7 linked regions of the Cricetulus griseus genome follow. The protein of the gene in region 5 interacts with the protein of the main gene of each other region in a pairwise test. Links are inferred from orthologs where the notes say so. Each region holds a gene or a part of one and is shown on either strand. Other genes may lie near its edges.

Region 1 (3,500 bases), on a different chromosome or scaffold from region 5:
TGCCACAGAAGATGGAGAAATTATGGTTGGAAGCAGGGGGAGAGGAAAGAGAGGGACCTGAGGCTGCCTTGTCCTTTGACCTTTACCCTTGTGTAGGGCAAAGTGATCAGGGCCTATTGGTTTGTTTCTTTGCTGAGAGAAGGGGAAGGCTCTTCTGGAGGTTCAGCAGCTGTATTCATGGATAGCCGCTGTTTAACCGTGCTGCATCTTGTCTCTTCTCTTTGTAGATATTAATGAATGTTTAAGTATAAGTGCCCCATGCCCTGTGGGGCAGACATGCATCAATACAGAGGGCTCGTACACATGTCAGAAGAATGTGCCCAACTGTGGCCGTGGCTATCATCTCAATGAAGAGGGAACTCGCTGTGTCGGTTGGTATCTCTCTCTCTCTCTCTCTCTCTCTCTCTCTCTCTCTTTCACACACACACACACACACACACACACACACACACACACACACACACACACTTCTGAATTTCTGAATTTTGGCTTTTCTCTCTGTTTCCAGCACAGTCCTTCCCTTCTCTAGAAGAGAGAGTTGGTCCCCAAAGTGAAGACATTCTGCCTGTCCATCCGTCCCATTGTCCTTCCCCGGGCACAGGTCTTTGCTGTCTTGCCCAGACTATATTACAGTAGCACACCAGTACTTCTAGCCTTACCTTCAGTCTGCCCAGTGTTCTCAGGCTACCTGATCACAGCCTGTTGGCGACTAAGAATGGACACTCACAATTCAGTTCTCCTAAAGTGGTCACAGCAAATCTAGGTGACATAAATCTTGCTATTCCCCAGAGAACACAAGACCACTAGGTGGTGTCTTGTTCATTCCCACTATGTTCCTGTTCCTGTGTTGACTTGGGCTAGGGAAATCAGCTGGCCTAGATCTCTGCCAGGAAAGGGGCTTTCCTCCCCACAGTCCTTAGGCCATTTTAGCCCCTCCCTGACAGCCCTGGCTACTTCCTGTCTCTAGAGATCAGAGCTGGCTTCTTGGCGGCGGATCAGCTGCTGTTCCAGATTGGCACATTGTAGAAGTTCTATGAAGAGTAGATGGCTGCTGTCAGTGTACTGTTTAGTGTTGCACTCTAAAAAGCTCTGTGTGTCTTCCTTTCTCCTTCACAAGATGTGGATGAGTGCTCACCACCAGCGGAACCCTGTGGGAAGGGACACAACTGCTTGAACTCCCCTGGCAGCTTCCGCTGCGAGTGCAAGGCTGGATACTATTTTGATGGCATCAGCAGGACCTGCGTGGGTATGTGAATGTCCTTCGGGCCCTCGGGACCCTGGCCAGGTGACTCCACACGGGGGACAGTCTGTGGCACCTAGAGTGACCATGACCGTGTCCATCCCATCCTCATCTCAGGAGGTCCCAAGTGTAGGCAGCCCCAGAGTGAAGACCCTCAGTCAGGAGACACTGTCTAGCTGCAGCTCTGCCACCACCCTGGACTTGGGCCACCATCAGGGCACTAGTGGTGTCTCCCTGCTTCCTCATGGGACAGGTGTTCTGTTTGACCCTCAGCCTCCAAGCATTTCTAAGACTCCAGCCCAAGTCTGCATCTGGCAAGATAACAGTGATTTTTCTAGATTTGCTACAGACCTATAGAGCTCCAGGGCTTTGGATGCACAACTCTCTAAGGCAGTCAGATCAAAAGGTGACCAGGAGTGGAGTCAAACCCTATCCAGATAGTACTTGCTGTTACCAAACCAGGATCCTTGATGGAGGCTGACAGCTACCCTAACCATCCCCCCGGCCCCTCAGCAAAACCCAGCAGACTCTCCTGTGGGGAGCAGGCTGGCAGAAGGGCATCTGTCCAGATGTGCCACGTTTGTCAGAGCACAGGGCTTCACACAGATACAGTCAAGAGAGGCCTCAGCCCTTCCTTCTGAGACATGAAAGGACTTAAGGGCAGAAGTCCATGAATTGCTGCCATTGGGCAGAAGGGTGGGACATGGCCCTGCTCCAGTGGGCATGCCTTGAGCTGACTGCCCCTCTGTTTCAGACATCAATGAGTGCCAGCGTTATCCCGGGCGCCTGTGTGGCCACAAGTGCGAGAACACACCAGGCTCCTACCACTGCAGCTGCTCTGCAGGCTTCCGGCTGTCTGTGGATGGCCGGTCCTGTGAAGGTGAGAGTGGGTCACGGGGTGGCCAGCAGCCTTAGCCACATCCCTCCTCTGCTCGAAGACTCATTTGGAGTTTACTAGGCAGATATTTCAAGGATACTAAAGTCTCCACTCCAGAGACATGACTCTAAGCCAGTAGCCGCCATGCTGGAACTTGGCAAGTCTTCCTGGCAGGGCTTGGTCGGTTGTTTGGGTTCATGAGTCTTGCTGTGCACAGACAACAGTGTCTTGTGTTATCATCTATGATTATTATTCCTGGATGTGTCAAAGGTGTTCATAGCTATGTGCCAATAAAACTTTATTTACAAAAACAAGTGGTGGACCGAACCTGGCCTGGAGCTTGCTCTAAGTGAAGGGAATTGGTGACCAATAACTGGGTTGCAACTAGCCCCAAAGTTGAGAGATTTAGAAGTACCAAGGCTGTGTCACCTGTGTCACAACCTAGGAGATGAAGTGGGGAGGGTAGGAAAGATTTCCACTGAGAGCTAGAAGGGGCTGTGGTCATGCTAGGACTCTGGATATGCTGCTGTCATGCTGAGCCCATGCCCTGTGGGGACAGGCTCATGGAGGCTGTCACTACTATCCTGCCAGGAGATCATGTAGCCTCACACAGGCAGTAGCAGGGGTGGAGAAATTCCAGATTTCTCAGCTACAGCAAGCTGGAGTGGAGGCCCCTCACTCCTTGGGCATCTCAGTCTTGTAACTTCAGACTTCTCCTCCCTATTTAACATCAGGGAGGTGATGAGGAAATATTCTGCTCACTGCTCTCTGTATCCTCAGTCTGTAGGGGAGGCAGGGACTTGAGATGTGGCTCTGAGCTCTAACCCCTAGGAACCTCTTTTCTTCTAGATGTGAATGAGTGCCTCAACAGCCCATGCAGCCAGGAGTGTGCGAATGTCTACGGCTCCTACCAGTGTTACTGCCGACGAGGCTACCAGCTCAGTGATGTGGACGGGGTCACCTGTGAAGGTGAGGCACCCTGGGTACTGTGGGGAGCACCCTGGCCTTGCCACCCAACGCACAGCAGGTTCTGGCTGCATTTCAGAATTCACGGCAGAGAGCCTGACAGGATTTCTCCACCTGTTTGCTCCCTTGGAGGTGGGGCTGGATCCTTGCTTTTCCTCTGATAGGTCTCAGAGACCCTCTACTGGGCTTGAGAGTGAGGTTAGGAAGAGAATAAACCAGTTCATGGATTTCTCTTAATATGCATGCCATGGTAACCCCTTGGTGTGCTGGCACTCTGAGCCACAGGGCACAGGGCTTGGCAGCAGTAAGTGGCTGAGAGGTGAGGAGTGACCTGAGGGCCACAGAACCCCTGAGACAGAGCCACCCTCACCAGGCCTGGCCATCAACTTCTTCTCTGTCAAATGCAAAACTCTCTCC
Region 2 (4,146 bases), on a different chromosome or scaffold from region 5:
GAGATCTACTTGCCTCTACCTCCCAAGTTTAAAGTGTGTGCCACAACTGCCGGGCCCCTTCCCTGCTCTTACTATTAGAGACTGACAGCCCTTGCTCTTACCTGCCCAGCCAGGTCTCCATTGCTCTCCCTTGACTGCCCCTGGGCTGGGAGGCAGGGGCAGGTTAGCTACTCTGGCATCTGGGCACGGAGGATACTCTGAGGAAGAAGCACAGTGGTTACCCCTGCAGATTGCCGGAAGACTAAAGGGCTGTCCCAGCACAGCACCAGCAGAGTGGAGGGAAAACTGGTCCACCCCTCTAGGACCTAAGGGTGGGAGCAATAAGGAACACTGTCTTTGTCATCTGCTGAGTCAAGGGTGGGGGTCTGACCTCAGCCTTCCAGTTCAGTTTAGTTCCCTCCCTGTGGCCCAAGATGGACTTAGCTCCTCTGGAGGCCCGAGGAAGGGCAGGGTGGAGGAAGGGGGAACCAGGAGGTTCTTCCTCCCAGAGCTCCAGGACCTAGAGGAGGCAGGCTATGCCAGGTACCCCTATGAGGTACCAGAGGGCCCTTGACACCAAGTGTGGGGGCAAAAGCCTTAATCCCACCATTTGAGTCGGGGAGCAGAAGATCCAGCCTGGGTGATGCAAGACCCTTATCTCAAAAAAAAAAAAAACAAAAAAACAAAAACAACAACAACAACAAAAAAAACTCTTTCCCCCTTAAAAAAAAAAAAAGTAAAAATAAAAATAAAAAACCCGAGTATTTGTTTCCTACCTGCCTCCCAGACCTTTCTCCCTCTCTTAGATAAAGCTCCTTATGAAGGAACAGCCAGGCACATCTGGGTGACCACAGGCACTTTTTTGTCCAAGGGATAAACTAAGTGGGCTAATGGCTTCATCTTTAGAGAAGAGGCGGTGACTTAACCTCCCTGTGGGTGCCAGCATCCACGAGGCCTTGGCTCGTGGCAACCTAGTTCATGTACAGCTAGTTTTCTTCTTCTTCTTTTTTTTTCTTCCGATGTTCAGCCAAAATGGCTGGGCACTTAGGAAGGAGAGAGATGCAGCCATAGCTGCTCATCCTTCCCAGTCACCAGCTTCGCCTTCTGGTATACCCGGGAAGTCCACCCTGAAGTCTAGCCTTGAATGCTGTAGAGAGGGGCTTCCATAGCCTGTCTCTCCCAAGGCCCTGTCCTCCAGCCCCCTCCTTCTCTTTGAGGCCCTTCCCACCCACACCCCTCATCCCATCTCAACTCTGCTTTCCAGGAAAAACACTGTTTCTGTTGGATCTAAATGGCACCACCAGAGGAATCCAAGCATTGCTGGCCAACACAGGGCCAGCTCAGGGCAGGCAAAGAACAGAGGGAAAGCAAAAGCTAGCCAAACCCCCACTCCCGGGACCCCAGAACTTGGGAATTTGAAGACAGGAACAAAGTGGCTGAGCCCTCTCCTTCCCCTTGCTGGGCCAGCCACTGAGGTCCACAACAGCCCTGGTGGAAAAGGAGCCATGTTCAACCCCTCGAAGTTGGAAGAAGGAGTGATGGGCACCACCTGTCTCTCTCTTGTCCGATGCTGGTCCCCTCTCCACCTCCTGCTTCTCTCTGCTCCCCCAGGTCTGTCCCTGCTGCCTCTCCGTGGTCTACCCAGTACACATAATCCTGTCCTGAGCTGGCTTTGGCAGCTCCCTGGAGAAGTGAGGGGTGGGGGGTGATGAGAGCTCCTGGGGCCAGGGCCAGGCCTGGCTCCCTCTCTGGAAAAGTCCACCCCACCCTCCCCTGCATAGGGAAGCAGGAGACTCCCCCTCCCGGCACAAATGCATGCTTGTTGTGCCAAGGGTGAGGAAGACAGAAGTTGGAGGTGGCCACCCTGAAGTCAAGGTGGACTCTGGTAAGGACCAGCCTAGGCTGCTCCTGCTCACACCCCACACTGGGCCGTTGACAGCAAGGAAAGTGACCTGTATGGAGCTAACCCCTTCACCCTTGGGCTCGCCTCGGGCAAATGAGCTAGGAAGAAAGGAGCGCTAGTAAGGGCTGGACTGGCAAAGGGGAGTTGCTGTCCTGTTAGAATTCCATCCCAACAGGTGTCTGTCTTTCCCCCCAACCTCTCCCAAAAGGCTGTGCTGTGCGAAGAGCCCCACCCGCATCCCTCCCGGACACCCTATCCCTGCGTTCTCGGAGTCAGGCGTAGGGGTGCATCCTCCCGAAGCCCCTCGGGGAGGAGCGGGTGGCGCCGGCTGCAGGGAGGTCCCGTATGTTTTCCAACTTCACTATGTGACTTAATAGGAATCTTGGCTCAAGCCCTCGCCCGGGTAATGGGACCAGACCCCCTCCCCAGGAATTCGGCCCAGGGTCCGCTGTTCCGTGACCATCAGAGCCCAGGCGGGGGTCGGGGAGGCTCTACCTTCTCTGCGCCCGCTCTCTCCAGCTGCCCTCCTCGGCCGCCACCAGGGCCGGGAGCCCGGGGACAGCGCCGCCCGCCCGCGGCAGGCTCCTCCCCGTGCCGCCCGCGCCCCGCCCGCCACGCGCCGGCCCCCGACGGCTAGAGGCCATGCGGGCATCGTTCCCGCCCCCACCCCAGGGTTTGGGACCCCACCGACCCTGTCAGAGCAGCCTTCGGGTGGAGCTTGTACACGAAGAGCACGGGCAAGGGGGATTTACAAACTGGACCCATGTGGCCCTCCTCAAGCTGAGATCCACCGAAGCCGAGGCCCTCTCCTCCACGCAGCCCGTGCCATCTCCTCCTCTTTTCCCATGCTGGGCAGTGAACCGTGTGGCTCTGATGGCCGAGGATGTCTGTGAGCCTCGGTTTCTTCATCCATAAAATTTTACACCCCGGAGCTTAGCGGAAGGAATGCACGTTGAATTATGAGTCAGACAAATTTGGATTTGAATTTCAGCTCGAGAGCTTGCCAGCTCTGTGGTCTTTCACTAGCACTTCAACATCAGTGCGGCAGCAGTGTCGTCTGTAGAATGGGAGACTTTGATGTGTATATTAGGCTTGGAAATGTTTGTCCATCTTCATGTGGAATAATGACTCAGAAGGAGTGCCCGAGTGAAGAAGAAGGGATGAGAAAGAGTTTTACCTTTTTATGCTTTTTATTCTATTTATATTCTGCTTGTACGTCTTTTCGTAGGTAGATGTTTGTTTATTTGTTTGTTTATTTATTTTGCTGTTGTTGTTCGTTTTGGTTTTTCTGAGACAGAGTTTCTCTTTGTAACAGGTCTGGCTGTCTTGGAACTCACTCTGTATACCAGGGTGTCCTCGAACTCACTAGATTCTCCTGCCTCTGCCTGTGCTGGGATCAAAGGTGTGTGCCACCACCACCTGGCTTGGTTGTTTATTTTTGAGGCAGGGTCCTACTATTAAGTCCTGAGCCACCTGGACCTCACTATGTAGAGATCCACCTGCTTCTGCTCCTGGAAGTGTTGGAATTAAAGTCGTACACCACCATATCAGTCCAACCTTGTAAATTTTTTTTGAAAACATACTGGGCATGGTAGTGCATGCTTCTAATCTCAGTTCTTGGTGGACTGAGGCAGGAGGACCACTGCAAGTTCAAGACCAGCCTAGGAAACGCAGCAAGTTCTAGGGTAGACTGGCCTACAGAGTAAGTTCCAAGACAGCCAAGGCTATTACACAGGGGAAACCCTGTCTTGAAAAATCTAAAAAAATAAAGCAAAAACACCCAATCAAGGTTAAAGAGATGACTCAGCCATTAAAGGCCAGGTTCACAACCTAAATGTCAAAACACACAAATATAGAAGTTTTAGCAACATTGTCTTGTGACCCCACAAAACAACAGAGGCCCTTGGTGCCCCGCCTAACACTTCTTGTATAGCTCTTGCTGAGGGCATAGAAGTTAGTCTCCATCCCGAAAGTGCTCAGTCTAATAGCACAGACCCTGCCAGTGAACATTGACCACTTTGGAGTTAATATGGGGCTCTGTGGACGCAGGAGCTATCTCAAAGATGATGGGTGTGTCTATAAAACAGTCCTGGGGCTGGGGATGTAACTTAGTGAGCTTTACACGCAGGAAGCCCAGTTTCCATTCCCAGCCCTGAAAAAGGCAGAATGCTACTGTTTGTTTTTGAGACAGGCCCTGTGATAACAATAGGACAGGTTGATGGGAACTCACTGTGTAGCCCAAGCTGACCCCAAACTTGAACTCT
Region 3 (4,293 bases), on a different chromosome or scaffold from region 5:
TTCTGGCTTTGGCTATAGTTCATTTCTTAGTATGTATGATCAAATATACATTGTTCCTATGGAGTCTGAAACCCCGTGTCCCACTTCCTCCCAATGACTGCACTTCCCACTCCTTTAGTCCTAAGTATGGATGGTTATCTACCTAGGTATCTACTTACCTACCCACCAATAAATCATCCATCTATCATCTATCCATCCACTCTCCTTCCTTCCTTCCTTCCTTCCTTCCTTCCTTCCTTCCTTCCTTCCTTCCTTCCTTCCTTCCTTCCTTCCTTCCTTCCTTCCTTCCCTTTGTCCATTCATCCATCCATCCATCCACCCATCCTTCCTTCACGCTATATATCCCCCCCCCTGCCCCCAGGAACCATCATCCATCCTCTATCCTCCATTCATCATCTTATCTGTAACATCTATTTATTCTAACAAGTATCCATACTTCTCTCAGTGGGTAGAATCCCATCTCTACCCTTTGAGGCAGGATACTAGACTTGGAGTTTGTCAGGGGCTCCCAGAGATCCCGGAGCTGTCCAGCAGCCTCTGGCTCCTGGCTAAGTTCTGTGTGTAGTGTGTGCCTGGAGGCTCTCCAGCGCCCCGCCCTGGGCAGAGAGCCTCTCAGGCAGGGCTGGCCAAGCTTCCCCGCTCACCACCCGTCTCCGCCTGTCTCTTTCCTCTGTCCACCTTCACCTAGGAGTCCTGCGTGCTTTGGCGGGGTTCCTTGCCCTGTCCAGGAGGGGATTCCCTGTTCCTGGGGCTGCTGTGCAGCGAGTGTCTGAGTGCGGGCTTCCCTCTTTTGCCCGAGGCGGCAGGTCGCCTTGCCTTTCTTTACAGCCTCGCCTCCTGCGGCTGGGTGGTCCTTTCTCTCCGCCCGGCTTTGGAGACACGCGCCCGATTTCAAAGGGGTGAGAGAAAACGCCGCCCATCAACTCGGCACCTGGCGTTGGGATCCTAGGTTCCTACCAAAGGCTGTGGTTGCGGGCATGCGGGCGAGGGTGGCATAGGGCGACTGAGGGCCAGCCTGGCTGGACCCGGCTCCGCTCTCGGGTAGAGAGAGGCCGCCCCGCCCGCGCCCCGGCTTGCGCCCCGCCCTCCCGGAGCGGTCTCCGCGGCTCCAGGCTCTCGCCATTGTCTCCGCCTTTCCAACAGGTTCTGGCGCGGGAGCGCGGGCGGGTGCGGGGCGGCCCGGCCCGGCTTTCCCGGGGCCGCCTCCCTTCCTCCGCGTGCGCGCTCGGGCCGCGTGGTTCGGCGGGGCGCCGCTCGGTGCAGGTCTCCGCAGATCCCCCTGAGCCCGACCTGGCTGCGGCCCGCCGCGTGCGGGAGCGATGCGTGCAGAGGCGGCTCCAAGTTCGGCGCGCACCCAGGGGGGCCGCCCCGCTCGGGCTCGGTCTTAGGCGTCTGAGCCGGGGTAGCGAGACAGTCACAGGAGGGGCCGGTGCTGCTTTCCCGCTTCACTCCCAGCACCTCTTGCTTTTTATCTTTATTTTTAAAGAGGGAGACCATGGACTGAGCCGATGCACGCCATGGAGTCCCGGGTGTTACTGAGAACGTTCTGCGTGATCCTCGGGCTCGGAGCCGGTGAGTGGCCGCCAAGCTGGGCCGGGATGCTCCCCGCCTAGGGTTGCCGCCCCAAGACCCTCTGGATTGGGGAGCTCTGGAGGGCGCGGGTTTGTATTTGGGTCCCTTCTGTGCTTGTCCTGGGGATTGCGAGGCAGGTCACGCCCTTAGGGTCTGTGGCTGAGGGGGAACTTTGCACAGAGAGGGGCTTAAAGTAGGTCACAGAGATGGGACCAGGCGCTCTGCTATTTTAAGCTTGGCAGCGCGTCCAGGTAAGGCTCTCCGGGTGAAGGAAGGAATCTCCTGTTGTCAGCACTTCCCAATATTGTCTCCAAGATGCGTTCTTTGAGCCATGGAGGCTTGCGTTTTAATGGCCCCCTTTCTTTCTTTCTTTCTTTCTTTCCTACCCCTCCCCACTCCCACCAGTTTGGGGACTTGGTGTGGACCCGTCCCTACAGATTGACGTCTTAACAGAGTTAGAACTTGGGGAGTCCACGGCCGGAGTGCGCCAGGTCCCGGGACTGCATAATGGGACGAAAGCCTTCCTCTTCCAAGGTATGGCCCAGTGCAAAGCCCCCTGTGCGGTGGGAGGAGCTGGCCCAGAGGTTCTTGCTAACTTGCCTGCTGCACCCCGGCGGGATAGAGAGTGCCAGCTGGGGGCTAGAGTTCCCTGTGAGCCTAGGAACCGGATCTTTTAAACTGGGGTGCCTTTTCTCATTTCCCGCGCCCTCCTCCTCACTTGCTACACTTGGCGGTTCTAATGGATAGTGCCTTAATTACAGACTAGAAACTCCAGAGGCAGATGGGTGATTTGGGCATCTGGGGAACAATAAATTGTAACACAAACGCCTCATTTGGGCGGAATGGATTTGGTAAGGAAACAGGACAGCTCAATCTTGGTTAAGACACTGACCTCCCAAAGTTTCGGCGCTGTGGTACCCGCCGAGAGCAATTTCTTTACGCTATTTTTTATTGCTTATCACTGTACTTGAAGCAAGACTACCATGGAAAGCTCCTCATTACGCCTTCCGTACCAGTGGCGAGGGGAAAGGAATGATACTGTTAAGATTATTTTAAAAGCATTTCAATGGTATATTCACCCAGAAGCACATCCCACCCCCCATCACCATAATTGTATGGGTAGGATTTTAAAACTTTTTCTTTTGGAGTCTGTGGACATTGGCTATTTTTAAATGTTCATATTTCAAATCATATTTAAATATACTGTGCAGTCAAAACACAATTTCAGTAAAAAACAACCTGCAAATTGATCGAACGAAGCTTTTGAAGACTGGCTTGTGGGAACGTGTTTAGCTTGAGGAACATGTTAGCTTGAGGGTCTAAAAGGTGGCTCAACTGTTCATGGAGATGGTGAAGCACAGATGAAGGCTAGAGAGACAGGGTTTGGTTTCCTGTATCCGGAGGAACAAGACGTCCTCCCCCACTACACATGGGGTTTTCTTTTGCTATTGGAAGCAATGGCTTTAAAAGAAGTGGTGCAACTTATAATTACCGAAGCGTTGGCTATGCAAAATGCAACCAACCCAGCACAGCTGCCTTCAAGAAACAGACATAGGATGCAAGTTGGATGGTTCTGTGGTGGCGCTGTTGCTGCACATAAGCCAGCGTGTGTCACCATGGACAGCAGCTCCTAAGCTCTGTAGGGAAAGGGAGAAACTGACATGTGTTGCATTTATTTAAGACGATTTGTTTTTTTTTTTTTATAAGAAATCAAGATGTAAGCTCTTTTTTTTAAAAAAAAAGAGGATCAGTTGAAGTTCTTAATTAGTGTTTTATTGTGACAAATGTTTATGATATTTTCTTTACTTTCAGATGCTTTGTGGAGGGTGGGGCTGGGATACTGAAAACAATGACCATATGTGATCATGGAAATAGAGCTCAATTGTCAGCAAAAATTCAGAGTTGAATTGAAATGCAATTAAGTGTAGGCTTTTCGCTTATACTATGTATTATTTCTGTCCTTGATTTTTAGTCTCTGGGGACTAAGCTATTTCAGGAACTGATGGGTTGAGTAACTAGGAAAAAACCAAGTTTCTAATAATCAAAACCTATTGAATTGTTCCGATAATCTCAAAGCTTCTATTATGTCTTCTTAGGGTCACTATCTTCCTATATAGAGTGTCCGTCTGTCACAAGCAACAAACTCCAGGAATGCACATTTTATGTGAGACAATTGGCCAATTAGACAATTTGACAGTTTCTAGGCAAAAGTCTCAGAGTATCAGTTTTTTTTTCTGGTTAGTTTAAAACAATATTTTATATAAGTAGTCAGCTTCTTCAAGGTATACATCATATTAAAAAAAACCTACAAGATTAATGTCCAATGGTATCTTTGAATTGTCCTCAGTTGGGGGAATGCCAGTGTTTACTGGTGGGTTTCTTTTGTTTCCTATCTAATAGCAAGATCAGTGCTAGAAAGAATAAATGCTTCACAAATATAGTTTTCATTCAAAGATGTAAAATTACATTTGCTGCCACAATACAAACATCACTTTGTGTATTAGTCTCTATTTACTGCTTGCTGTGTAAGGTATATGATATGTAATGATATGCTACTTATTGAGCTTTAGTAACTTACCTTACCGTAAGATTTTAATTCTGAAACCCACAACAACTAGACCTGTGACTGAGGGGTGGTTCTGTATGGTTCTGGAAATGTCTTTCCTCAGTTGCTAGGGGAGCAGCAGGTTTGTTAAGAAACCAGCCCTGCGTCATGGTGTT
Region 4 (4,117 bases), on a different chromosome or scaffold from region 5:
CCAAAACTACAAACAGGCAATCAAAGAAACAAAACCCAAAATGTTCTTTTGGTTGATGGACCAAATGATCTCTGGAAACATGTGCCCTGGGTTGACTTTAGAGCCTGTCCTGGAACTAGCTCTTGTAGATCAGGCTGGTCTCGAACTCACAGAGATCTGCCTGCCTCTGCCTCCCAAGTGCTGGGTTTAAAGGCATATGCTACCACTGCCTGGACAAACCTGCTTTGTAGCTAAAACTGACCTCAAACTCCTAATTGTCTCTCCTGCAGATAGCCACCACGTGGAGCTCCTTCCTTCTTCTGTTTCTGCTTGAGTTCCCAGCTTCAAGCCCCCTCCATCATCTGCCCCATCTGACTAAGTATCTGGCCCTCTCTTAGATGGGCAGGAACCCGCCTACCCATCTTGATACTTAGTTTAGCCCTCTTTCCCCCAGCCCAACACTCACCACGTAGCAGCTCTCACAATATGCCCTCCTCTCCACAGCATAGAAGTGCTGGCCCCGGAGCTGGGCCCGACAGGTAGAACACACAAAACAACCAACATGGAAGACACGGTCCAGGGCCACAACCCCAGCTCCATCGCCAACCACATCTTCGCCACAGCCACCACACCGACCTGAGGATAGAGAGCAATGAGCATCAGTCTGTACATATCCATGTCACCAGAGCCACCATCTCCTCCCTCTGCCCACCCTACCCACCAGGTCAGCTCACCAAAGTACTCCCCACTGGGCGGGTGGCTCATGTCATGCACCAATTTCTTGGTCAGTCTCTCTAGCTCTTCTTCCGGAGGTTGGCTTAAAGGGACCTACAGTGAGAATCAGGGCTTTGTGGTACTACCTACAGTCTCTGATACCATGAATAATCTGTAAGGTCAGAACCCTGAAACTCATCTGAGAACATCTCCCAGAAGCTAATGGGGGGGAGGTACCTAGCCCATTCCCTTTGGCCATTTTGACCCATGACCTCTAAGTACTCCAAAAACCAGGATTGATTTATTCATTTATTTATTGTTGGAACAGTGTCTCATATAGCCTAGGCTGGCCTGGAACTTGTTATGTAGCCAAAGATGACCTTAATCTACTGATCCACCTGCCTCTACCTCCACCATGCTTGTGGATAGAACCTTGGAACCCCTGCATAGTAAGCAAGCACTCTACCAACTGAACTGCCTCCCCAGCCCTAAACCAGTATCCTAAGTACTCCATGCCACCCAATCAATGCCCACTTACCTAAAATGACCACAAACCCAGTGTCCCCCATCCCCCACCCGGCTCACCTGGGGCCCATGCCCGCCTCCTCTTCCTCCTCCTGCAGGGCCATGTATCCCAGCGGCTTCCTCCTTTACCCCTGGTCCTGGCTCACGGTGGCTCCTATAGCCAGACCCCCAGACTTCACTACGGCCTGGCAAAGGAAAGTGGGGGCCTGGAAGAGGCCCAGAGGCCTGAGAGGCCCTCCGCCTTGGCAGTCCACAGCCTCTCACTGGTTGAGCCACCTTCACTTGTACAGGGAAAGCAGGACCAGCTGGAGTGCTGGCTGTGGCGTAGGAGGCTGGGGTAGGTCCACCATAAGGGGCTGCTGGGAGCATAGGGGTTGGAACAGCACCTCCACTGGGCTTCAGGGAGCCTGCGCGGTAAGCATGGGGTGGAGGGACCTCAAAAGCCTGGGGAGACACGCAATGGAGAAACAGTGAGTAAGGCCCTAACCAACATCCATGCATTCCAGGTGGGAACCACAGAGAAGCAATGATTTCTGACAAGTTCCCACGGGCAAGGCCCGGCAAGGAGGCAGCCCGTGCTTCCTTGAGCCAGCTGTTCATTAGTTGCAAAGTGTGGAAAGGATGGCTTCAGGCTGAAGAGCCACAGAAGGGAACTGGCTAGGGATGGGGACGCAGACACAGGACACAGGACACAGACCTGTCGGTCTGCCCGCCGAGGAGCATGACTGCGACCCCCGTCCAGATCAGCCAACATGCTAGTGAGTGAATCTATCTCAGCATCCAGGCTTCCAGGACGGATGACACCCCTGTCTGGCGGGAGCCCCTGGAGACAGAGCCAAAGCAGGGAGAACAAATATAGACCACAACCCTTGGGCTTCTGTCGCCTTCACCCTGAGACAGAGACCCACACATCCTCCTCTCATCTCCAATTCTCACCTGCAGACGCTGGGGTGCTCCGTGGGAGCCCACCCAAGTAGGCCCCCGATCGTCCGGTACCCCCGGAGGCTGATAACACTGTTCAGGTGGGAGGGGGCAAAAATTGACCCTGGGGTGGGGCTGGAGTGCTGTAAGGGAGAGAACAGAGGTGGGAATGGAGAATGGTACCTCGTGAAGGCTGCCCTGCTCGGGGTGCCTCTCCTTCACGCATCTGGGGCGTCTGGGAAGGGCTAGGAATCAGGGAAGGTTGCACAAGGGCAGGGGCCTCTGGCTTGGGGAGGAGACATCAGAAAGCAGACAGACAGGAGAGAAAAGGTGAAGGAGAGTGGCCAGTAGCTCCCCCGCCACTCCCGGGTGTGCGAGAGACAAACACTTACTTGCTCCGTGGGCCGGTGGCGGCCCCAGGGCGCCTCGGGGAAGCGCTCTTCCCTGGGGGACTCTGGAGGGCTCTGGCTGCTTCGGGGGAAGCCAGGTGGGCCCCGACATGGTCTGGGATGGTTACTCCACTCCAGACAGAGGTCACGGCCCCCACAAGCCCGGAGCCCTCCTGTCCCGTCCCACGCCCGGTTTGGGACTCCCGCAAAGAAACTTTTTCTGGCTTTTTTTTTCCCCCCTTCCTCCCCAATTTTGGGGCTGGCCCCGCCCCCTGACGTCACCACATTCCTAGAGAGGGTCACGTGGTCCCCCTAAACCCTAATCTGCAATCCCTCCCCTCTCTCTCTTTCTGTGGCCCCCTCCTGTTAAGAATGGGCCGCCCGCCTCGGGAGCCAAGCCACAGGGTGAGCTGCAAGGCGCTCAGAGGCTGCGGCCCAGCCCCTTCTACGATCCCTGCCCCAGGACTGCACGTGGCAGCCTCTCGGCCGGGACCTCAAAAGGCTTCTGGTCTCCACCCCCCTACAGATCTCTCCCTTCCCACCCACCTCCCGCTCACCTACCCACCAGCAGTGCTCCGCCAGCCCATAGTGTTTTGGTCTTTTATTAATGGTCAGTAGTTAGAAAAATAAAACAAAACACAAACATCACCACCCAAGGAAGTGGGAGAGGGAGGCGGTGCGTCTGTGGCCAGGATGGGGACACTGAGGTAGCCTAGAGTCGCAGAAGAGACCAGCCCCTCTGGTCAAGGCACCAATGAAGGAAGTGGAGGCAGGCCAAGGGCAGGGCCACAATGTCCTCCCAGGACTATGGGAACAGCCACCCAAAATTAGTGTCTACGTCCCCCCCATCCAAAGGAGACCATGGTCCCCTTAAAACATCATCCGAAGGGCAGAGTCCACTGGGGGATCCATTGTTCAGAATGGGCCTGGGCCCTCTATGCAACCCTGTCTCAACAGGCTTCAGAGATCAGTGCAGGTGACTGGAGTGACTCCATGAACAAGAAGGGTGGGGCCCAGGTCCCGGCTCAGGGTTTCCAGCAGCGCCAGGTATCTGGGGTAGCGGGCAGGATCGGCAGGCGGTCGAGGCAGGTACAGGAAGGTGAGGGCAGTAGCAGGTCCCTCCTCCCCATCCCTTCCTTCAGGCCCCCCAGGGCCTCCTGCCGCGCCTCGCCCCTGCTGGGCACGCACCAGGGCGTTGGCACTGCAAGCCAGAGCCTCGGCCTCTTCATCTCCTCGACCACCATTCACAAAGTCCCCTTCCTCTTCTTCATGCTCCCCAGTCTCGGCCCCTTCACCCCACACCACCTCTTGCACCTCTGCCCGGATCCTGAGTTGACTCAACAGAGCCCGCAGCCTGCCCTCCGCTGCCCCAGGAGCCTCCCTAGGCCCCAGGCACAGGAAGATCCGGAGCCGGGCACTGTGCCACGCAGGCACCATGCTTAAGATGGTAGCCATCTGCAACAGGAAAAGGCCACAGACGTCCACGTAGCCAGGCCCACCCCGGGGCCGCAGCAGGTTCAAGGGCCACACGTCCACGTGATGTAGCTGAGCGCTGCTGCTGGACCCCCGGCTTAGCCGCTCCGGGGGCA
Region 5 (4,243 bases):
CCTAGGGCTGACATTAAACCTAACAGTAAACAGCAATTACCAACACCATCAGCATCATCGTAGGGGTGAGGTTGATGGAAAACAGGACCCCTGTCCTGGGATGATGCTCACATTTGCACGTGTCTCTCTGGGGAGTGACCTGAAGGTTCACACAAGCAACTACACAGTCCGTTGGAAAGTATACAATCCACTCAGCCATCTGTCCACTGCCCCTCCCACCTGCCAGTCCCTCCCCACCCCCCAGACATGCAATAGGGGGCGGTGGCAAGAGGAGGTTTTCCCACTCCTAACAAGCAAGCCCCTTATGAAAGAGAGAAATGTGACGCGGGAGGTCAGCATACTTTGTAAGAACTGTGCGATCCGTCCTTCTGTCCCGTCCCTCCGTCCCTCTGAGGCCTACGCTGGAGCGAGCAAGCTCCTGGGTCTCTAAGAGCAGACAGAAGGCCTGCAGCTCAGGCTCGGCCCTCATGCCGGCCACGTCTGCTAGCGTCATCTTTCTCATCTGCCTTCCACCCTCAAACTCCAGCAGCAGAGTTGCTCCGGATCCTGAGGGACTACCAAGAGCAAAGCTGACTGACTGGGAAGGAGAAAGGGGAAGAGATCCAGAGAAGAGGGAGGGCAGAGAAGAGAGCAGACACCCGGACTTTCCCAGAGAGCTGGGTTCCTAGGGCTCCCCCGCCCCCCTGGGGTCGAATTACAGAAGCTCCCATAGCCACGCTATTGGCCCGTAGGAGTCAGGGCAGAGGGCTCTGAGACCCTCCGGATGAGGACAGTAGCTTCTTTTCTTTCTCTGGTCCCCATCACACCCACCCTGATTCCTCCCAGACAATCCTTTGCGCACGTCCCCCTACATTCCGAGGCGGGTGAGGCAGTGACGCAGCCTTGCCCTAGGCGCCTGGGTTCCAGGCTCAAGTCTCTGCAGGGACTGGGTGGTGGCGGCCATCCCGAGCTGAGGGGATGATGTGTGCTGGATTCCTACCCTTCCCACCCTGTTTGCTCCCGGCTCCGCCAGGGTCCTTGAGACCATGCAGAGAGCTCTGGCCTACCGAGGCCCGCCTCAAGAGAGCCGAGAGGCCTCGTCCCCTCTCACCTCTTGTCAGTTCAGCTTTCTAGGCTGGGTGGGGAAAGGGCCGCGGAGGGTCGCCTCCCATCCCCCACATCCTGGAGGCGGAGGCGAGCAGAGTCGGGCGCGCGCAGAAGTCAATCTCTACTCCCCTTGGCCCCAGTGCTCCAAGTCAGCTCTGGCAGCGGCCGGAGCAGCCGCCGCGGCCCGGGCAGCCTGGGGGGGCGACCGCGCGTCACCTAGACTGAGGAGCGCCGGGGATTTAAATGCCACTGAAACGGTGATCCATCACCGCCGCAGCCGGTAAACTTTCGCAGGCGGCTCAGCCATTGGTTGACAAAGTCACGTGTCCTTCCCCTTGAGTCCTCCGCCTTCCCGCCCCGCCTCTTGCGCACTGTACATTCATATCATTTTTCTTCTCTGGTCCCATGGAGGAAGTGAGAAAGTTGGCACGGTCACCCAGGGCTTCGCAGGACCCAGTCACTCAGTGACAGATGGACAATGCAAGAATGAGCTCCTTCCTGGAATATCCCATCCTTGGCAGTGGCGACTCCGGGACCTGCTCTGCGCGAGCCTACACCTCTGACCATGGGATTACAACTTTCCAATCCTGCGCGGTCAGTGCCAACAGCTGCGGCGGCGACGACCGCTTCCTAGTGGGCAGGGGGGTGCAGATCAGCTCGCCCCACCACCACCACCATCACCACCCCCAGCCGTCTACTTACCAGACTTCTGGGAGTCTGGGGGTTTCCTACTCCCACTCGAGTTGTGGTCCAAGCTATGGCGCGCAGAACTTCAGTGCGCCTTATGGCCCCTATGGATTAAATCAGGAAGCAGACGTAAGTGGTGGGTACTCCCCGTGCGCTCCCGCTGTTTACTCTGGAAACCTCTCATCTCCCATGGTCCAGCATCACCACCACCACCACCACCAGGGTTATGCTGGGGGCACGGTGGGCTCGCCTCAGTATATCCACCACTCTTATGGACAAGAGCACCAGAGCCTGGCCCTGGCCACGTATAATAACTCCTTATCCCCTCTCCACGCCAGCCACCAAGAAGCCTGTCGCTCCCCTGCTTCAGAGACGCCTTCTCCAGCGCAGACCTTTGACTGGATGAAAGTCAAAAGAAACCCTCCCAAAACAGGTGAGTCCTGCCGGCTGGCAAACAAATGTTGCTTGATTTTGAAAGGGGCCGGTGCGCTTAGTTTCCTAGGAAAGTTAATGATTTTAAAAGATGGGTTCTTGCTTCTGTCTAGTGTCTTCTGGAGTTATAGTGTGTGGTGTAGGATGCCCAGGTGTGTTGGGGCAAAGCAGTTTCTGGACCTGGCATTTTCAAAGGGGCTGATGCTTCAGTGGTCTAGAAGTAGGAAGCGTGTGTGTGTGTGTGTGTGTGTGTGTGTGTGTGTGTGTGTGTGTGTGTGTGTGTGGTGTGGTGTGGGTGGGAGGTGTCGGTGGTGGTGGAGTTTTGTTAATATCTACAGGCTCCATTAATCAGAAGCCTGACCACGCTAATGGTTGACTTCAGGTTAACACTTTACATACACATCGTTTGTCACTAGAGCTTCCCAGCTGGGTTTGTGCTGAGCAGTTAACCGAATGTTGCCCCGAACATTGGGCAATCGGATAAGGGTTAAAGAATTTTTACCTTTTCCTCTCTTCCTCCGTTACCCCAGGGAAAGTTGGAGAGTATGGCTATGTGGGTCAACCCAACGCAGTGCGCACCAACTTCACCACCAAGCAGCTCACGGAGCTGGAGAAGGAGTTCCACTTCAACAAGTACCTGACACGAGCGCGCAGGGTGGAGATAGCCGCGTCCCTGCAGCTCAACGAGACCCAGGTGAAGATCTGGTTCCAGAATCGCCGCATGAAGCAGAAGAAGCGTGAGAAGGAGGGGCTCCTGCCCATTTCTCCAGCCACTCCTCCTGGAAGCGACGAGAAAGCTGAAGAATCTTCTGAGAAATCCAGCTCCTCGCCCTGCGTTCCTTCTCCAGCATCATCTACCTCAGACACCCTGCCTACCTCCCATTGAGGCCACTCCAGCCCAGCTCCGTAGTCCAGGCTTCTCCCTGGGCTAGGGTTTCTTACCCAAAGCACATCTCTAGCTTATCTTTCTTCCTTTACAGTCTCTCTTTTTCTTTCTGGTCCAATCCAGAGAGCTCCTGGGCAACATAATGTAGTTCCATAGAATTCTGGAGACTTGGTTGTAAATTAAATCCTTAATCCACATCGGGTGCCCATATCAATTTCTGGTGGCCCCCAAAATTCCTTCCTCACTGTTGTGAGAGTTTTTTTTACACAACCCATGGTTCCTTTCAGATGTCCCTTGGAGGACAGTACCCTTTGCCAGCAGGCATTTGAAGAAGGGAGGCATCTCACCTTTTATCTGTATATTGTTCTTCTCTACCTGGCTCTTAAGTAGGACACACAAAAAAGAGAGTATCCAAAGGCTCATGAAGAAGAGATTGACTGAGTGTGTTTACACAATTAATTCACCCCTTAACTTTCTCTTGAGAGATTTATCTTTATACAGATTTTCTAGAAACATGCAGAACTATATCAAACAGGGTGGGCAAACTTCCAAAACTGGTGATTATGGGTGGACAAAAAAGGGGGGACCCTGGCATTCAAACAGAACCAGATTCCTCAAAAGGTAGCCTCAATTTGCTCTTGCAGAGTCAAGAAGGCCTGAGAAGCCCAAAGTTCAGAACCTTTGCTGTGCCAAGACTTCCCAAATTACCGATTTCTTCTTGCTTCTCTGGCCACCCTCCACTTAAAAAGTGTGCTGGATTATTTGTAACCTAAAGGTACTCTTTTCAGTCACCCTTTCTTTCCACAGTTATCTTGGCTGGATACAATGTATTTTCAGCTAATTGTTAATGTGATGGCACAATGAATGTATATTTTGTGTGATTCGTGAATAGTCTTCTGCATGTCGCACAATGTTTTGATGTCCCTGAAGTACCACACTGAGTTCTATCAGTTATCTTTTGTGAGCCTACGATAGTCCCCCTTTCCTGTACAATCATGAACAGCTCTGAGATCCCAGAGGGATGTGATCCAGAGCAGAGTTTACGGGTCTTAAGACGTCTGTAATAAAAAATATTCAAGTTTTGGGTATGCTTAAGCATCTGTGTATTTGGCTGGGCTACAGTTTGTGTCTTACTACAAAGTAAGGGGAAGG
Region 6 (4,071 bases), on a different chromosome or scaffold from region 5:
ATTGGGATAGATACATGTTGTCACTTAGGCAACACTGGAGAGTGAATTCTAAATCTGTAGCCAACATATGCCAGGTCTTGCGGAGCATAGTACTGGGTTTCTCTGTAATCCCCTAACAGTTAGGGCACAATGCAGGACTTCAAGAAATCTTTATTCACGTGACCCTAAGAAGCTTAGGACAGCTTGTCATAGAAATTTAGGAATTATATGAACACAGGACCATATGGCATCATCAGCTGAATGATTTCAGTGTGTGATTTGGTACACCGGAAGGTCATGCTAACAATTTAATTTTTTGTATATATGTATATATTCAGGTGTGTGTGTGTGTGTGTGGGTGGTTGTGTGTGTGTGTCCGTGTGTTTGAAGGTGTACATACATGTATATGTATATGCATGTGTACAGAGGCCATAGGTCTACTTCAAAGGTTGCTCCTTAGGAACTCATTCATAGAAATCTTGGGCTAACTGATTAGGTTAGTCTAGCTGGCCAGTGACCTCAAGGGACCTGCAGATCTCTGCCCCCGCAGGATTAGGGTTACACATAAGGCTTTTTTTTTTTTTTTTTTTTGGATCCGAGAGATCCAAGGATGGTCCTCACATTGGCACTACAAGAGCTTTACCAATGGAGCTATTTCCTCAATGTTACATTTTAATTTTGGTGAGTAAGGAGAGCCAACCAAATCAAAAATCCAGGAAGGGATTTTTACTCAGGGTCAGTCAGGAGAGAGAGTAAAAAAAAATACCCACCCAATAATTAAAAAATGAAACAGAAGTGACTGACTAAATCAGAGCCCTTTACAAGAGAAGCTGTGTGAATATTTCTGTAATCTGGCTCAGACTTAGATAAAGGATGCATGTGATCTTGGGGGAGAGGGGCAATCTGAAATTCACAACGGAATGGCCAGAAGCAAGCCAGCCTTCTTTCTCATCCCAAATCCTAGAACCATGCCTGCTTTGTGACTGCGTTTACTCTGACTCCCCTATGTCTGCTCAGTTCCTCACCTGGAAGGGCCAGGCCTCCCAGGGTCCCCTGCTCATTTGGGCCACAGGTCCACTTCTCGCAGCACTCCCCAGGCACTGCAACTTTCCTGGGAGCTGGGCAGTCGGGACCAGGCAGCAGCACGTCCAGCTGGCAGCGGGGCACGCAGCCAATCTGCCCATCTCTGCAGGCGCAGCGGTACTGACAGTTTGGTTCAAACTTCTCTCCGCTGCGGTAAATGACTCCGTCGAACACACAGTTGTCTCCCTCTAGAACTGGAATATTCAGGAAGGAAGGAAGGCAGAGGGAAGAGGAGAGAGAGAGAAAAACAATCAAAGCACAGATTAACTGGAAAGCTGTGTGAGATTGGAAGGACACGGTCAGAAGTGAGGGGCTTATACATCTCAAGGAGAAACAGGTCCCTGTAGATGCTTCCAGAACAAGGAGAAGGCACCAATCCCACCTGGGCCTTTTTTCTTCACCTAGTTCTTATAAACGAGCAAAGAGATGGACTCTGGACACTGCCAATATACACGTTCTGGCTAACTAATGGCTTCTATCACGTCTCCACTTCTTTCTCAAATCTCCTATCCCGGAATGATTTCATTTCTATGCTAGAGCAAAGGTACAAATGGTGGTGTCACACTCCAGTGACCCTATCTCCAAAGAAAAGAGCATTTCCCCCAAACAGTCTTCAATTCTTCTTCTACAATAGTTTAGGATTTAAAACCAAATAGTTTTACTGAGCAGCTCTGAAAGGGCATTAAGAATTCTTGGGAGGGAAAAAAAGAGAAGAAGGCTTGCTTCAAGCTCTTACCAAGGGAGGTAGGGGCCATTCTGATTACAGCAGTGTATCTCGTGGGAAATTGATCTCCCATTGATTAATTTTCATGAGCCTGCCTTGGCTAGTTGCCTGCATTTGATTTTACTGCAACCCTGACAGGAGTGACATAGTCCTCCCAGGAGACAGAAATTCCTTTGGCTCAAGTAGGACAATCACAGGTGTGAAAACAAGCGTGCCGGGCTGCAGTCAGGGGGAACTGGAGGCCTGTGAGCAAGCCCATACGTCCAACACATCATCCTAAGCGTTCCCCTGAAAGTGGCGAAATGAAATGGTTTCACTGACCCTTAAACTCCGCTTTTGTCCCCTGTCTAGGCGGCAAGTGATGTACCTGCTCTGAGCATGTTTCCTTTCAGTCTGACGCCTGATACCCAGTAAGCTCTCCACATAGTACTGTACTGTACTATTGCTACAAATGTTTTCGCTCAGTTCTCTCCAAGAAAGGGAAGAAGACGGCTAAGGGAGGAAGGGAGGGAACAGTTTCACCTAGCTGCCCCAGGAGAGGTCAGGCCACGGAGGGGAGTGCTGGCGGGGCGGCCAGGGACAGGGTTACCCATGCATATGCCAGTCTGGTTGCTGGGGTCTGCGCTGCGGTCACAGTAGAGGCCGCTGCTCTGGTCGCAGGGCTTGAGCTCGGAGCAGCTCTCTCCGCGCTGGCGAGCGCACACCAGACAGCAGGAGCAGCCGTCCAGCACGGAGCGCACCCCGGGGGCGCAGGTCGGCGGCGTAGTGGGGCACTGGAGCGGGCACGAGGACGGGCAGCGCTGAGTTGCAGACACCTAGGAAGAGAAACGGGACAAGGAAAGGAGCCCTGCTTATCAGGGACAACGTAAGGCAGAATGAGCCAAGGACCGATTAGGGTTAGCCTAGAAGGAGGCATCTTAAGCCTGAGCCACTTACTTGATTGAAGAGATGGAAGAGCAGGAAGCCTAGGCAGAGGCATCGCTTTCGCAGGAAAGTGCTCATGGTCTGCATGCTCTGCACGCTAAGGCTGTCCCGGGACTGGAAACGGGCACTGCCCCTTCACTCAGGTCAGGCTGAGCAGGGAGCGCCACCCGTGCAGGTTTTATAACGCGCTCCAGGAACGCGCACAAGCCGGTTGGCTGCGCGGGGAGGGGGGTGGGGGGGCAGTCATCTGGGTGGAGAAGTGGAAGGAGCTCTGACGTTGCCATGGTGATGGGCCCCAAGGCTGCTCTCCTTAGGGCGTGGCGCCCGGTCTGCGTGTGCCTGTGTGTGGCGACTGGCTTTTCCCAGAGCACCGGGAGGGGCAGGGTGGAGCCCCGAGGCCAAGACCCAGAGCCAGCTACAGCTCGTGGGAAGGAAACGCCCTCTTCCTCTGAGTAGTTGTTTCACCTTCCCCCAGGAGGAAGACACCGCTATTCCCTCCGCCCTCGCTGTTCTGTTCCAGAACCAGGGCTACAAAGGAGGAGCTCTTGACCGGGATGCCTGAAGTTTGGGGCCATATGAGCAGGGCAGGGATTGGCCAAAGGCCCAGGAGTTTAGTCATAAGGGAAGCACATGCAAGTTTGTCACCGTTTATTAGGGCGCTCTTTGAAATGTGTTAAGGGGGTGGGGATGAGGAAAGGACACACACACACACACACACACACACACACACACACACACACACACACACACACACACCACTCCCCGTCAGAGTGGGGGATGCTGTTGGGCAAATGGCCAAATTCTTCCAAGATTTGCAAAGTCTTAAGACCCAAGTTCCCCATGCTCGGTAGACATAAACACAAAACAATGAAATACAAATAAAAAAAAAAAAAGAGGAGGGAGAAACATTTCGTGATATAGGGAAAGTCTGGAAACACCTGCCACATCGCACCGAATGTAAAACCGCTTCAAACAGTCCAAGTTTCTATGCCAGCCTCACTGGGTTGCGCTCAGCGCCCCGATGGATTGAAAAGGCTTTTGCTTGACTTACCTGAATAATAGCTCTCCAACCTGGATTCATTTGCGAAAAGAAAGGAAAGGGAAGAAAGGGTAGTCTGCTGTGTATGCTTGCTGGTTTTACTCCATCAAAGGTGACCCTGTGCGACAGATTTAAAACAGCTTTTCCTCCTGTACTTCAAGGCTGCACCCAAGAAAACTATGTCCAGCCCCGTTGACGGATAGCTACTTTGGAAAGACACTGTGATGCAATTCTAGACGCTACAAAGAAACAAACTGTCCCTATATTACTGACTCTTCAACAGGAGAGAAACAAATGGTAGCGTGTATCTGGGCTGTCTCTA
Region 7 (3,954 bases), on a different chromosome or scaffold from region 5:
CCGGTGCTTTCTCCTCAGTGCCTGTCTCCCCACGGTCTCTGTCCTCAGGGATCTCCTGGCCTGACCTTGTGCTCTGCCCTTGTTCTTCCTCAGGGTTTCTCCTGTGCCTGCTCTGAAGATGGGCTGTCCACTAAGGAGTATGGCCCAGATCCCGGAATTCTCTAGTTCAATCAGAAGAGATGCCTCCTAAGATTAGGAAGCCGGGTGCTGGGATGGTTGTGAGAATGGTGGGGGTGGAGGAGATGGGGAGGCAGGACAAAGGAGAGGAAAAAGAGTGGTCCCTTGGATGAAGGAAAGGGTGGGAAAGCCAGGTGATGGTTGGATGGACTTGTGAACAGGTTACAAGGGGGAGGTTATTACTCCACTGGGTGCGGGGAGCATTTCTTGATTCTGGCTTGGTCCCTGTGCCTGGGAACTCCAGAAAGAGAAGAGACCCTAGAAGGGAAAGAGGAATACAGCCTGAGTGAAAGGAGGAGGGTGCCCTGGGTCTTAGACAGGGAAGATCGTTGTCCTTTTCAAAGACAAGTCCTCATCCTCCAGGGCCCATCCTGCCCATGAGTGGTACAGGCCGGAGGCCCAGCCTCTGCCCTTTCACTTAGCTTGAGGCTCCTGTCTCTCTGGATGGATACCACAGGGGTGGCCGCAAGGAGTGTGTGTGGGGGTGTCGAAGCCCGCCTCTCCTCCCCCCCTTTGCGCCCCCTGGTTCCTCCCTTCCCCCTGCCCACTCCGCTCCCCCCTCCTCCAGTCCCTCCCTCCTCCCCTGCCGGGTCCCAGCCTGTCCCCCTCCCCCACTCGCGATCCGGCCGCTGCTGCTGGGCCGGACCCCCCGGGCTCAGCCGGGCTCCTTGCGGAGCCGCCGCCGCGCCCCGTTTGCTGAGGAGGAGGCCCCGGGCCGGGACTCCTGGCGCGGGCATAAAACGGGCCGGAGCCAGCGCCTAGGGCACTACAGCGGCGTACGGCCCGGGTCAGCGCCCAGCCGCCCGAGCTCTCCCGCCCCGCCCGGCCGGGAGCGGACTCCGCGACTGCGAGACGAGCCCCTCGCCACTGCCCCCCTCCTGGCCCCGGCCCCCTCCCGCCGGCCCGCCTCCGGTCCGGCCCTACTCCCTCTCCTGCTCCCTCCTCCCGCCCGCCTCCCCAGCTGTCCGCTCCGCGTCATGCCGAGCCTCCCGGCCCCGCCGGCCCCGCGGCTGCTCCTCGGGCTGCTGCTCCTCGGCTCGCGGCCGGCCGGTGGCACTGGCCCCGAGTCCCCCGCGCTGCCCATCCGTCCTGAGAAGGAGCCGCTGCCTGTTCGGGGAGCGGCAGGTAGGTGGGCTCCAGGGGGGAGGCGCGGGCGGGGAGTCTGGCTCGGGGCAAGTCTGCACCCACCGGGACAGGGCCCCGGGCGCAGGTGGCTCGGCGCAGCGGGAGGGCGGGAGGGGTAAGCAGAGGCGGCGGGGCGCAACGGTGCCAAGGGACCCAGGGCCTGGCGGGCAGAGCTCGGAGCAGGCATTACGGCACGAGCAACCGGACAGCGGCCGCCAGCCAAGCCCGTCCCCACAGGCTGCTCCTTCGGCGGGAAGGTCTATGCCTTGGACGAGACGTGGCACCCGGACCTGGGGGAGCCTTTTGGGGTGATGCGCTGCGTGCTGTGCGCCTGTGAAGCGGTGAGTGGATACCGCAGCTGCCCGCCCTACCCTAGAGGGTAGCGGAACGCTGGCGTCCTAAGCCGTAGTAGCCTCGGAGATGCTCAGGGGAAGGCTGGTCCTCAAATCTGGGGAAACCCCTTTCAAGTCTGCGGTGTTGACAGTTATTGATCGCCCACTATGTGACTGGCTTTTAGCCAACTTCCCCCATCCCATTGCAACCTTGCTAGATAAATGGCATTAATTAGCCTTACTTTGCAGACTTAGAGAAGTTAAGAAACTTGTCCAGGGTCATGTAACTTGTAAATAGCGGAGCTGACTGATTCCAGCAGAGGACCTTACCCTGGCGTCTGATGGTTGCACGTTACACTCACTTAATTTCCCTGTGTTCTCTGCCATCAGCCTCAGTGGGCTCGCCGTGGGAGGGGCCCTGGCAGGGTCAGCTGCAAGAACATCAAACCCCAGTGCCCCACCCTGGCCTGCAGGCAGCCGCGCCAGCTGCCAGGACACTGCTGCCAGACCTGCCCGCAGGGTGAGGCCCACTGTCTCCCGTGTTAGGGAGGGTGGAAGGCTCAACACTAGGTTCTGTGCGGCTTGGATCGCTGAGGAGGACTGGCCCTCCTGGTACCCTGCTGAATCTAGTGGTCTTATTCCTTACCCCCCCCAACGCAGAGCGCAGCAATTTGGACCGACAGCCAGCTGGCCTAGTCTTCGAGTATCCAAGGGACCCAGAGCACCGCAGTTACAGCGATCGAGGGGATCCCGGCGCTGGCGAGCGGACACGTGCTGATGGCCACACGGGTAGGCTGGGGTGGAAGTGGGCCTGACGAAGTTTGGGGCCAGCGGCAAGGGTTGACAGTGCTTAGGCCATCCTCTCTTCTCACAGATTTTGTGGCGCTGCTGACAGGACCGAGGTCGCAGGCGGTAGCTCGCGCTCGAGTCTCTCTCCTGCGCTCAAGTCTTCGCTTCTCTATCTCCTACCAGCGGTGAGACCAGGGAAAGAGCAGCGCGGCTAGGAGTAGTGAATGGGGGCATGAAAGGGGGAAGACTGCGGGTTCTGGATCCAGTCTCACTGGACCTTTCTTCACAGGCTGGACCGCCCCAGCCGGGTTCGGTTCACAGATCCCACCGGCAACATCCTGTTTGAACACCCTGCTGCCCCCACCCAGGATGGCCTGGTGAGATGATGCCACTTACGTGTACTTATCCAAAATGGGCACTTGCTGAGAGCATGGTTGGCATTGCCTCCTTTGGTTCTCACAACAGCCCAGTGGGAGAAAGGCCCTGACATTATGATGCCCATTTTACAGAGGAGGGAACTGAGGCTCAGAATAGCAGAATGTGATTTGTTCAAGGTCATTTGGCTAGCAAGTGGTAAGCCAGGACTTGAACTCAAGGATCCTGGGTCCTTTTTAGGAGGGTCTGGGGTCTCCCTTCCATACTCCTCCCTCACCAGGACTGGGCCTCTTAGCTGGCTTGTCCTGCATAGTGACTGTAGACTTCCTTGTCTCTTTGCTGTAGGTTTGTGGGGTGTGGCGTGCAATGCCTCGGCTATCTCAGAGGCTCCTGAGGGCAGAACAGCTGCATGTAGCCCTGGTGACACCCACTCACCCTTCAGGAGAAGTCTGGGGGCCTCTCATTTGGCAAGGTGCTCTGGCTGCAGGTAGGAAGAGTGAAGAGTTCCCAGATAGAAAAGACTGAGCCTTCTCTATCCAGGGGTGGGTGGACTCACGAGAGGCTCCTCTGATGGCTGTCATGCCCTCCATTCCCCAGAGACCTTCAGTGCCACCCTTACTCTGGAAGGCCCACAGCATCGGGGTGTAGGGGGCATAGCCCTGCTCACCCTCAGTGACACAGAAGACTCCTTACATTTTTTGTTGCTCTTCCGGGGTCTGCTGGGACCCAGGAATGAAGGTAAGCAGGTGAGAAGGCGTCCGGTGAGAGTATAGGGAGGGAGCTCAACTTTCAGAAATGCTCACATGTGCAGCCCTTGCAGGTCCCGCTCAGGTTCCCCTGAGGCTTCAGATTCTCCACCAGGGACAGCCACTCCGAGAGCTCCAGGCCAACACCTCAGCTGAGGTAAGGGGAGGCCTGGGTCTTGCTGCTGCTTGCTCTGGCCTCTTGTTGTCCACCACATTCCGCTCTGTTCCCAGGAGCCAGGTTTTGCTGAGGTGCTGCCCAGCCTGACAGACCAAGAGATGGACTGGCTGGTGCTGGGGGAGCTGCAGATGGTCCTAGAGAGGGCAGGTGGGCCAGAGCTACGCATCAGCGGATACATTACCGCCAGGCGGAGCTGTGACGGTGAGGCAGGGTGGGGCTCGGCGCTGTGGGC

The links.
Region 1: the proteins of Hoxa1 (region 5) and Fbln1 interact in binary tests that used the Homo sapiens proteins (3 or more experiments, as listed by UniProt). The link is inferred for Cricetulus griseus from reciprocal best matches to the Homo sapiens genes HOXA1 and FBLN1.
Region 2: the proteins of Hoxa1 (region 5) and Adamtsl4 interact in binary tests that used the Homo sapiens proteins (3 or more experiments, as listed by UniProt). The two-hybrid records come from large-scale screens. The link is inferred for Cricetulus griseus from reciprocal best matches to the Homo sapiens genes HOXA1 and ADAMTSL4.
Region 3: the proteins of Hoxa1 (region 5) and Nell2 interact in binary tests that used the Homo sapiens proteins (3 or more experiments, as listed by UniProt). The link is inferred for Cricetulus griseus from reciprocal best matches to the Homo sapiens genes HOXA1 and NELL2.
Region 4: the proteins of Hoxa1 (region 5) and Trip6 interact in a two-hybrid assay, tested with the Homo sapiens proteins (2 studies listed by BioGRID and IntAct). The two-hybrid records come from large-scale screens. The link is inferred for Cricetulus griseus from reciprocal best matches to the Homo sapiens genes HOXA1 and TRIP6.
Region 6: the proteins of Hoxa1 (region 5) and Ccn3 interact in binary tests that used the Homo sapiens proteins (3 or more experiments, as listed by UniProt). The link is inferred for Cricetulus griseus from reciprocal best matches to the Homo sapiens genes HOXA1 and CCN3.
Region 7: the proteins of Hoxa1 (region 5) and Chrd interact in binary tests that used the Homo sapiens proteins (3 or more experiments, as listed by UniProt). The link is inferred for Cricetulus griseus from reciprocal best matches to the Homo sapiens genes HOXA1 and CHRD.

Annotation. Positions count from the first base shown.
Region 1 is NC_048595.1:382,056,844-382,060,343, forward strand, and holds part of Fbln1 (fibulin-1), read left to right. Parts: intron 1-227; coding exon 228-371; intron 372-1,117; coding exon 1,118-1,246; intron 1,247-1,994; coding exon 1,995-2,120; intron 2,121-2,966; coding exon 2,967-3,086; intron 3,087-3,500. UniProt on the Homo sapiens protein: Incorporated into fibronectin-containing matrix fibers. May play a role in cell adhesion and migration along protein fibers within the extracellular matrix (ECM).
Region 2 is NW_023276806.1:60,816,913-60,821,058, reverse strand, and holds the start of Adamtsl4 (ADAMTS-like protein 4), read right to left. Parts: upstream 2,801-4,146; 5' UTR 2,574-2,800; intron 2,498-2,573; exon of another isoform or gene 2,378-2,497; intron 1,663-2,377; 5' UTR 1,529-1,662; intron 198-1,528; 5' UTR 122-197; coding exon 102-121; intron 1-101. UniProt on the Homo sapiens protein: Positive regulation of apoptosis. May facilitate FBN1 microfibril biogenesis.
Region 3 is NC_048595.1:391,942,191-391,946,483, reverse strand, and holds the start of Nell2 (protein kinase C-binding protein NELL2), read left to right. Parts: upstream 1-1,493; 5' UTR 1,494-1,508; coding exon 1,509-1,572; intron 1,573-1,977; coding exon 1,978-2,106; intron 2,107-4,293. UniProt on the Homo sapiens protein: Plays multiple roles in neural tissues, regulates neuronal proliferation, survival, differentiation, polarization, as well as axon guidance and synaptic functions.
Region 4 is NC_048597.1:116,225,497-116,229,613, forward strand, and holds the start of Trip6 (thyroid receptor-interacting protein 6), read right to left. Parts: upstream 2,801-4,117; 5' UTR 2,641-2,800; coding exon 2,532-2,640; intron 2,283-2,531; coding exon 2,155-2,282; intron 2,042-2,154; coding exon 1,916-2,041; intron 1,663-1,915; coding exon 1,279-1,662; intron 808-1,278; coding exon 714-807; intron 616-713; coding exon 446-615; intron 1-445. Other genes in the region: Slc12a9 (solute carrier family 12 member 9), read right to left, coding at 3,489-4,117. UniProt on the Homo sapiens protein: Relays signals from the cell surface to the nucleus to weaken adherens junction and promote actin cytoskeleton reorganization and cell invasiveness. Involved in lysophosphatidic acid-induced cell adhesion and migration.
Region 5 is NC_048601.1:89,186,543-89,190,785, forward strand, and holds Hoxa1 (homeobox protein Hox-A1), read left to right. Parts: upstream 1-1,443; 5' UTR 1,444-1,557; coding exon 1,558-2,206; intron 2,207-2,735; coding exon 2,736-3,091; 3' UTR 3,092-4,191; downstream 4,192-4,243. UniProt on the Homo sapiens protein: Sequence-specific transcription factor. Regulates multiple developmental processes including brainstem, inner and outer ear, abducens nerve and cardiovascular development and morphogenesis as well as cognition and behavior.
Region 6 is NC_048603.1:644,007-648,077, forward strand, and holds the start of Ccn3 (CCN family member 3), read right to left. Parts: upstream 2,801-4,071; 5' UTR 2,798-2,800; coding exon 2,723-2,797; intron 2,602-2,722; coding exon 2,376-2,601; intron 1,257-2,375; coding exon 1,005-1,256; intron 1-1,004. UniProt on the Homo sapiens protein: Immediate-early protein playing a role in various cellular processes including proliferation, adhesion, migration, differentiation and survival. Acts by binding to integrins or membrane receptors such as NOTCH1.
Region 7 is NC_048597.1:67,916,608-67,920,561, reverse strand, and holds the start of Chrd (chordin), read left to right. Parts: upstream 1-1,154; coding exon 1,155-1,302; intron 1,303-1,473; coding exon 1,474-1,643; intron 1,644-2,024; coding exon 2,025-2,154; intron 2,155-2,288; coding exon of another isoform or gene 2,289-2,294; coding exon 2,295-2,423; intron 2,424-2,508; coding exon 2,509-2,608; intron 2,609-2,712; coding exon 2,713-2,800; intron 2,801-3,143; coding exon 3,144-3,285; intron 3,286-3,395; coding exon 3,396-3,536; intron 3,537-3,618; coding exon 3,619-3,701; intron 3,702-3,775; coding exon 3,776-3,923; intron 3,924-3,954. UniProt on the Homo sapiens protein: Dorsalizing factor. Key developmental protein that dorsalizes early vertebrate embryonic tissues by binding to ventralizing TGF-beta family bone morphogenetic proteins (BMPs) and sequestering them in latent complexes.